Linked DNA regions of Tamandua tetradactyla. The protein of the gene in region 1 purifies or fractionates together with the protein of each later gene. This does not show direct contact. Links are inferred from orthologs where the notes say so. Each region holds a gene or a part of one and is shown on either strand. Other genes may lie near its edges.

Evidence for each region.
Region 2: the proteins of DNMBP (region 1) and DNM2 purify together in Homo sapiens (co-immunoprecipitation; 3 studies listed by BioGRID and IntAct, with this or other methods). This does not show direct contact. The link is inferred for Tamandua tetradactyla from reciprocal best matches to the Homo sapiens genes DNMBP and DNM2.

Annotation. Positions count from the first base shown.
Region 1 is NC_135339.1:61,444,177-61,448,082, forward strand, and holds the start of DNMBP (dynamin-binding protein), read right to left. Parts: upstream 2,902-3,906; 5' UTR 2,739-2,901; intron 1-2,738. UniProt on the Homo sapiens protein: Plays a critical role as a guanine nucleotide exchange factor (GEF) for CDC42 in several intracellular processes associated with the actin and microtubule cytoskeleton.
Region 2 is NC_135337.1:91,084,134-91,088,039, forward strand, and holds the start of DNM2 (dynamin-2), read right to left. Parts: upstream 2,550-3,906; 5' UTR 2,535-2,549; coding exon 2,266-2,534; intron 1-2,265. UniProt on the Homo sapiens protein: Catalyzes the hydrolysis of GTP and utilizes this energy to mediate vesicle scission at plasma membrane during endocytosis and filament remodeling at many actin structures during organization of the actin cytoskeleton.

The DNA.
Region 1 (3,906 bases):
CCACCAGGATCTTGCTGTTGGTCACATATGGCAAGCACACTTCTGCATCAGGGCTGGAAACACACTCATTCCTCTGCTACTTGCTCACTCCCTCAATTCCTTCAAGTCTCACATCAAAAACTTTCAGTAGAGGCCTTTTCTGGTCATTATCTATAAAAAGTCCATCTCCCACCACACACAAACACACTCCTTTCCCACTTACACTGCTTTAAATCATCAGGAGTACTTACAATCATCTGACACTTCTGTCTATTCACATATTGTCTTCCTCCTACCCCCGCCAGAATATCTACCCCTCAAGGACAGGACTTTGTCTGTTTTGTTCATGACTGTATCCCAGAATAGTGCCTGGCATGTGCAGGTGCTCAAAAAATATCTGTCTTGAATGAATAAAACCCAGGCCTTCAGAATCTTAGCCCAACGCCCTATTTGCTCTACCATGTCGCCTCAGTTCTTGGTGGTCATGTCCTTCAATTTAGAAGAACAAATCTAAGAAAAAAGAAAGAACACAATTTAGCTACTCTATGCCCATTTTATCTTCTATGATTTCCTTTTATAGCATCAAGGACAAAGTAAACCCAAAGTTAACACTTTTGGTAGGCAAGTCTCCATTCACACTCTATTTTATCATTAGAAAAAGTGATCTGCCTCCCGCCCCATGCCCACCGTCTCTCATCTGCCGCCACTTTGCCCTTGCAGTGATTTTATCATTAGAAAAAAATTCCTTCAACAAATTTATCACTAAACTATCTGTAATTTGAAAAACCCTGTTTTGCTTAATTTAGCCTGACAGTGATGGACTGCAAAGATCAAGAATAATAATTTGAAAATTCTCTACAGATCACGCAGAAAGGGTTTCTTTCTAAAGCAGAGATAAATGACTTGACCAGCTCTGGAGGCTTCCTGTGTCACAGTTTCTAAGCATTCAGGACATAAAAATCTAAGCCTGGCCTACTTACCCCTTTTTCAGAACCAGAGCTTCACAAAGTCTTGCACTATGATTGAAAAGTGAAATGTTTAAATGATCTCAATTTTTAGGAGATCTTAAATAGTGATTCAAGATTCACGATTTATCATGTTCTTTGAGAAGAGTAAAAAGTAGCATAAGTTCAATCAGTGCTTGAAGGAGGCTCTGAATTGTGTTGATGTTGAGAAGAATGAGATAAGGGTCTTGCAGGTAAGAGTGGTAGTCAGAGAAGAAGGAAGGCAAAGAAGGATGCAGAGATTGATCGAAACAAGAAGAGGGAATGGCTCTGCTTTGGGACTGCAAGACAAAAGAAATAACACACATATTTGGGCAGAGTAGCCCATAAAGATCACGATTATATCTCAGTCAAAAAGGCACACAATATGAACACTGAATAAAAGAATTTTATATTTTCTAAGTCAGAATGTTCTCAGCTTATTGCAAAAGGTATCTGCGGCTCTGTACAGACCCCATTCGCAGGGCAGACCTCAACTATTCTCCACCATGTATGAAACACTCCATTTCAGTCTCTGATGTGTGAACACTTGAAAACACAATTGCTGGTTGTTTTCACAAGTAGTGAGTTATGCTTCAAATTAAATAAAATCAGGGGATTTTAGAGATGGAAAGGGGCCTTACAGATTCTTTAATTCACCACCTTGAATATATTCATGCCGTGCAAGTCATAAATGCAACACTGAGAAATCACAACTGTTTGTGGCGGGGTACTTCAATCTTGCAAAATAGTATTATGGATTAATCCACAGTAATCCACACTACTCCGCCCTAGAACTCAGCTCTGTAAACAAGAAGATCTAAACAACGCTGAAACCCTAAATATTTGTGTTACCACTAGCTTGCCAGACACCACTGGCACTACTAACTACAAAAAAAAAGTGTTTCAACACAAGATGTTCATATTACTGTAAAAGAATACAACTAACCTAAAGGCCAGTTACCAATATTACAGAATAATGGGAGTGCCAAAAAATATTTACTTTTCATTATTGTATGAGACAGACAATACGGGATACTGAAATTGCGTTAAACGTTAAACTCTATACACCTAGCACTCTCCACAGCTCCTGGGCCTGTTTGTAACCCCAGTATTCCTTTATTCAACTGCCAGCAACCTAACTCTTTTCAAGGTAAGTGCTCTGTGAAATTGATGCCTGGTGGACATCAGTAACTGCTGCAAGAATGAAGGTAGGTATCCGTGAATAACTGTAAAACTCCACCATCACCAAACTTGCAGCTGTAGCCCAACAAATTTAAACTCTAACTTCGGAAACCATCCATCCTCGAGTCACCCTGACAGAGAAATCATGGGCTCTTAAACCGACTGGATGTGAGACTCTAGACAAGCTAGAAGAATTTCTTCATCTGTAAAACAAGGGGGCTGGACTATTGCTAGATTCCTTTCCAGCTCGCAAATTCCGCCCCTTTGAGGGACTAGCAGGGCGGTGCAGTGAAAAGAGTCCTGGGCTGGACATCAAAAACGCCCACGTTCGCATCCCGGACCGGGGGGCCACCCGGTCTCTCCGCCTCTCCACCTCCAGGGGACCCGCTAGGGGCCTGACCTGACCTTGGACCAGAGGCGTCCGAGTAGGGACCCGGACTCCCGGCCAACAGCAGCGGCCGCCGCGGGGAAGGGACCAACGCAGGCCCGGCTGCGCTGCGCGTCCCTCCGGGCGCGGGACCCCTCCGTCCGCGGTCCCGGTTCAACGACCCTGGCTCCCCGCCCGGCCCTGGCCCCAGGCCTGCCCCTGACCTGCTCTCCGGCGCCTGGCGGTCCCTCGGCGCGGCGGACAGCGGCGATCGCCGGTCCGGGGCCCGCTGTCACCTCCGCCCCTGGAAACTGCAGGCGGGTCAATCCGGTCTGAGTCAGCCCCGCCTCCCGCCTCCCGCCCCCACTCCAGGCTTCCGCCTCGGCCCGCGCGGTCCCGGGGGCGCCACGCTCGGCTCCCGGCGAGGACCAACCCGGCGCCCGCCCCGCGCTCGCGCCCCCTGGCGGCCCGCACCCCGCCCCGCCCGCCCCGCGACGTCAGAGGGGGCGGTGGCGCGAGGCCCTCTACCCCGGGAAACTGAGGCACCGAGGGCTGAGCCGCCCGAGACCCCTTCGCATCTCCCGCGCTCCCCGCCCCACTCGTCCCGGGTGGTGTCCGCTGCGTGCGGGACGTGCCGTCCTACCTGCTGCCCTGGCGCGTCGCCCGTTTCCTTCTCTCCCTGGCTGCTCCCTCGTCCCCCAACACGACCCTTCAGACTGAAAAAAAAAACCAAAATTCCATTGAGAAGAAATTCAATTCCTGTTCGTTTATGTCGTCCTCTTTGCTCCCCGAGGCAATTCCCTTTATCATGTCACACGAAACTCGGTGGCGTTCGCGTGCGTCTCATAGTTTCCCCCGAGCAAAATCTGTCAGGACGCGGTTTAAGAATGTAAAAGCAAGGAATGGCAGAATACAAGAACTGAGCAGGGCTGAGAGTACACTTCTAACTCGTTCGTGGGTCCCCACAGGATTCCCTTTGTGTATTAAAGGTCAGAAAGTCACACGGCATGACTTACCGTGCCTTCAGTTTGCGCGATCTATCTAGGAGATTCGGAAGAATTTTTCAGAGACTTACCTCAAAAATCCCATTGAGATGTATCGTTTCTCCTTTCCTTTGGACAACGAGGGCACTGCCCTCCTGGAATTCACATTCTAGAGTGGGGAGACAGACCAGAAACAAATGACCTACCAGATAATTACAGGGTATGGTGAGGGCTATAATGGAAATAAATCAGATGGCATGAAAGATTAGATCCCAAGAGAATTGAACCCTAATGCCCTAGACATCCATTGCGTACAATTAATTAACTTCTCTTATGCACCCAGAATAGTGCAGGTTGCATACAGTCCTTGGGAGAATAGAGATTACAGTTGCTCAAAACGTTTTCTGTG
Region 2 (3,906 bases), on another chromosome or scaffold:
ATCTGTGTCCCAAGTGCCCTGCCAGGTACTGGGGTCCATCACATGGGGGCCCCTGCTTTATTGAGCTTGTCTGCTCTGGGCATTACCAATGAAGCTGCTGTGAACATGCCTGCGTGCACCCTTCTAGGGCCATGTGCCCTTGTTTCTCTTGCTGAGTCATGGTGGGTGGCCTCAGACTTTAACAGGCAAAACTAGTCTAAGGTGATAGAAATCAGAGCAGCGGATCCCCTGGGGGAAATGACCGCAAAGGAAACTTTCCGCAATGACAGTTCTCTACCTTGATCTGTCTGGTAGTTATGAGAATTCATTCATAAAACACCACCACCACCAAGGTGTGTACTTCAGATTTATGAGATTTACTGCATCTAAGTTAAACTCTTAATAGAAGGTCACAAACGCTAACAAATTCAGGAGGACATGCTTGTGGAGATAAAAATATAAAAAATGAACACACTGTTAAATCTGTCCATGGATTATAATCTTATTAGTTACCCAATAATAACAGCTCAGGTGTGAAGAACTCGAAAGCCTGTCAATGCGGGTCTCGGAGATTCACTGCACATTCTCAAACATCTTTCTGCGGCATGCATGTGGATTACTGAGTCCAAAACATTACTTTAAAAAAGAATAGCGAAAGCAAAAGAAGAAAAGATAAAATGACATTAAAAAGCACAACCAACAGCTAGGGAGCACACGCTGGGCCAGGCCCAGGGCAGAGAACCTTCTGCGGGTCGGCCCATTTGGCCTTGACGAAAATCCCCAGGACCCGGATGTTAACTCCATCTCCCGGGGGCAGCTGAGGCCCCGGACCTGACCCCTCGGGCCACCAGCAGCTGGGTGGGAGACGCGGGCTGCTGTCCAGACCAACGAGGCTTTGCACAGCCGGCGTCTGCACGGGCTGCACTGTGACTGCTCTGGGCCCGGCCGTGGTGCCAGGCACCGTGGGGACAATGGTGATGCCACAGAAGTCACCAAAGTCCAGCAAAGAACAACAGACAATCGGAGCCTTGGAGGACCAGAAGCATGCGGGTGGTGCCCAAGAAAAGCCAGAGAGCGCTGGGGCCAGGCAGGAGAGGCCGTCTGGGGGGGCTGGGGGTGGCGGCAGGGAGGGGAGCTGAGGGGACAGCTGGACCGAGGGGCCCAGAGAGGCCTGGGCAGAAGAGCGCGCACCCTGGGGCTTCCGGCGTGGGAGGAAGCTGCCCCCCAAGCAGCTCTGCCTAGAACCCTGACTGTCCACTTATCTGGAGGCCACGGTCAGGCCTTGGCCATCTGCTTCCTCTTCCCTGCCCCCCAGCCCCAGAGGTTACCTAGGACCCTCCTGGGACAGGAGTGGCCAGCCCCTCACCTCCTTCCAAACAGCAGCCAGGTTGCCTGAGAGGGCAGCCTCTTGGCTCCACGACCTTGGCTGGCCTCTCTGCCTCTCCTGTCTGTTTCTGGGGCACCAGACAGGGCCACTCCACCTCCTGTGGAGGTGAGGAAGGGCAGACCCAGTGGGCAGAGGGCTGCTTGGACTGGTCCCAGTTCTAATCCCCTCTCTGCCCTCCACTCCCTCCGCAGCACGAGCATGCTCTTGTCTGCACCCCGCCCCCCCATTTGGGTACTAGGACCCAGAACACAGGCCAAGCACACAGCAGGCACTCAGTAAGTGTTCACTATAATCATTTCAGCCTGGAGGATTCCTTCCACATTATTTTCTGAACCAAAAGGCCCAGCCTCCTTGCCTCCAGGTCTCTTCCCTCAGCCCGCCCCCACAAGGCCACACGACCAGTCATGCTCTGACCACTTCCCTCATCCTCAGCCCCACCCTGCCCACACCACCCACAATCCTGCCCCCTGCCCCCTACGTCTCTGTGCCCTCCTTCTGGCCTCTAAGCCTTTGCAGGGGCTCTTCCCACTGCCAGGAAACCCTTCCCCACAGGCCCTGCCTGTCTCTGCTCAGGCACAGATATAGTGGATTGCAGTCCTCTCTCCCAAGTGCAGGCCCCTTCCCCACGCCCACCAGCAGGGCCTCCAATGGGCCCTCACCTGGGGACAGGCATGGCTGGATTCCCAGCTCCCAGGACGAGGCTGGCAGGTAGCAGGTGCTCAGGAGGTGGCTGGGGCATGAGCAGGATGAACACAGGCTCAGGAATCAGGCAGCCAGGTCAAGACCAGCTCTGCCACCTCTGCCTGAGGGACAGGAGGACGCTGCCCATCCCTGCAGGGAGCCCAGCTGGCTGGGTGACCCGGTGAGGGCTATGTTGCCCTCTCGGAGCCTCAGCTTACCTGCTCTGTAAAATGGGTCTGCTCTCCCTGCTGGGAGGCCAGGACGGCCAGGAGGGGGCACCGCAGGCAGAGCAGAGGCTGTCTAGTTGCTGTGTGGAACAGAGGGCAAAGCCCCACGAAGAGCCTTTGACTTCTAGTCCCCAGGAGGGTGGGGATGCCCTTTCCAGGAGAGGGAAAACAAACAGATAAGGAAACCAGGAATGAGTCAGTGGGACACACCCAGCCAAGGGGCTGGGCTGGGGCCCGGGGGAGGGGGCATAACGGGGCATTACTATGGCCTGCTCTGCTCTCTGCACAGCTACAGCCACGGGAGAAGTCCACTCAGGGCACAGGCCGCCCACCTGGCCGGGTTCTAACCCCTTACTGGGCAATGGCGCAGGAAATCCTCAAGCAATCCCAAGGGGGTGATGCCAGGATCACACGCCGCCCCCCCCGCCCCATTTCACAGATGGGTCAACCAGGCTCAGAGGGCCAGGGCCTCCCCAGGAAACTCGTAGGGAAGGGACAGAGCTGGGATGAGAACATGGGTGAGATATCAGCGAGGCTGACTCCCCCCGCCGCCTCCCCAGGGGCCTCCTTTCTGGTTTTGCTAGAACAGGAGTAGCGGTCAAAGCTCAGCCTCCTGAGCCTGGTCTTCCAGTCATGCACCCCTGAGACCCCAACCCTCCCAGCACCTTTCTGCAGGAATCCAGGCCTTAGGGTCCAGCAGCTCCAGGACAAGCATCTCCCACCCTCGTGGCCACCCAGGCGCAGGCAGGATGGGCACAACCTGACACAGGCTGGAGACCCAGGGTGCCTCCCACCCCTCACCCCAGCCACAGCAGGTCCTGCTGTTCCACCTGCAAACCAAGCCTGAACTGCCTACTGTCCCCACAAACAAAGCCATCACCCAAAGCCCAGGCCCCATCGCTGCCATCATCGCTTGCCTGGACCCACACAGTCATAGCTCCCAGGCACCCAGCCCCACAGCAGCTAGCGAGTACCTGTGAAGCCCTGAGGGGGGGGGGGGGCGGGCCTCCCCTGCTGAGAACCCTCCATTTCTCCCATCTCATCTGGAGCAAAAGCCCATCATGTGCTGCTCTACCTGCCCCGTCCCCTCCTCTCACTCTCCCCAATTCTCACTCCCTCCAGTCTCACCACACCAGGCTCCGCAAACACCAAGCAAAGTCCTACCTCAGGGCCTTTGCACAGCGGTACCCTCAGGATGGAACCCTCTTCCTGCAGCATCTGCATGACCGGCTGCCTCCTCCCTACCCCCAATATGAAACACCCTCCCTCACTACCACCCGTCTCAAGTGACATCTTCCTAACTGGCATCTTCCAGCTGATTCATTTTTCACGGAGCTAAGGTCTGGCCCTGCCCCCACCCCCACTCCCCATCAGAGTGCAGGTCAGGGCCCACTGGGCTGTCCCATTTGCACTTGTGACACTGCTCCACCCCCGTACCCCCACACCTATGGGTTCCTCCCTGCACAGGAATCCCTCCACAGAGAGCCCCGCCCTTGAGCTCCTGTCTCAGCCAGGAGGAGCAAAGAAGGATGTAGCCTATGGCAATGAATGGCTATGGCTCTGGGGCCCTCCACACTCCAGATGGAACCCAGGTCCCGCCATTCCCTTTCTAGGATCATCTGGGCTGGCCCA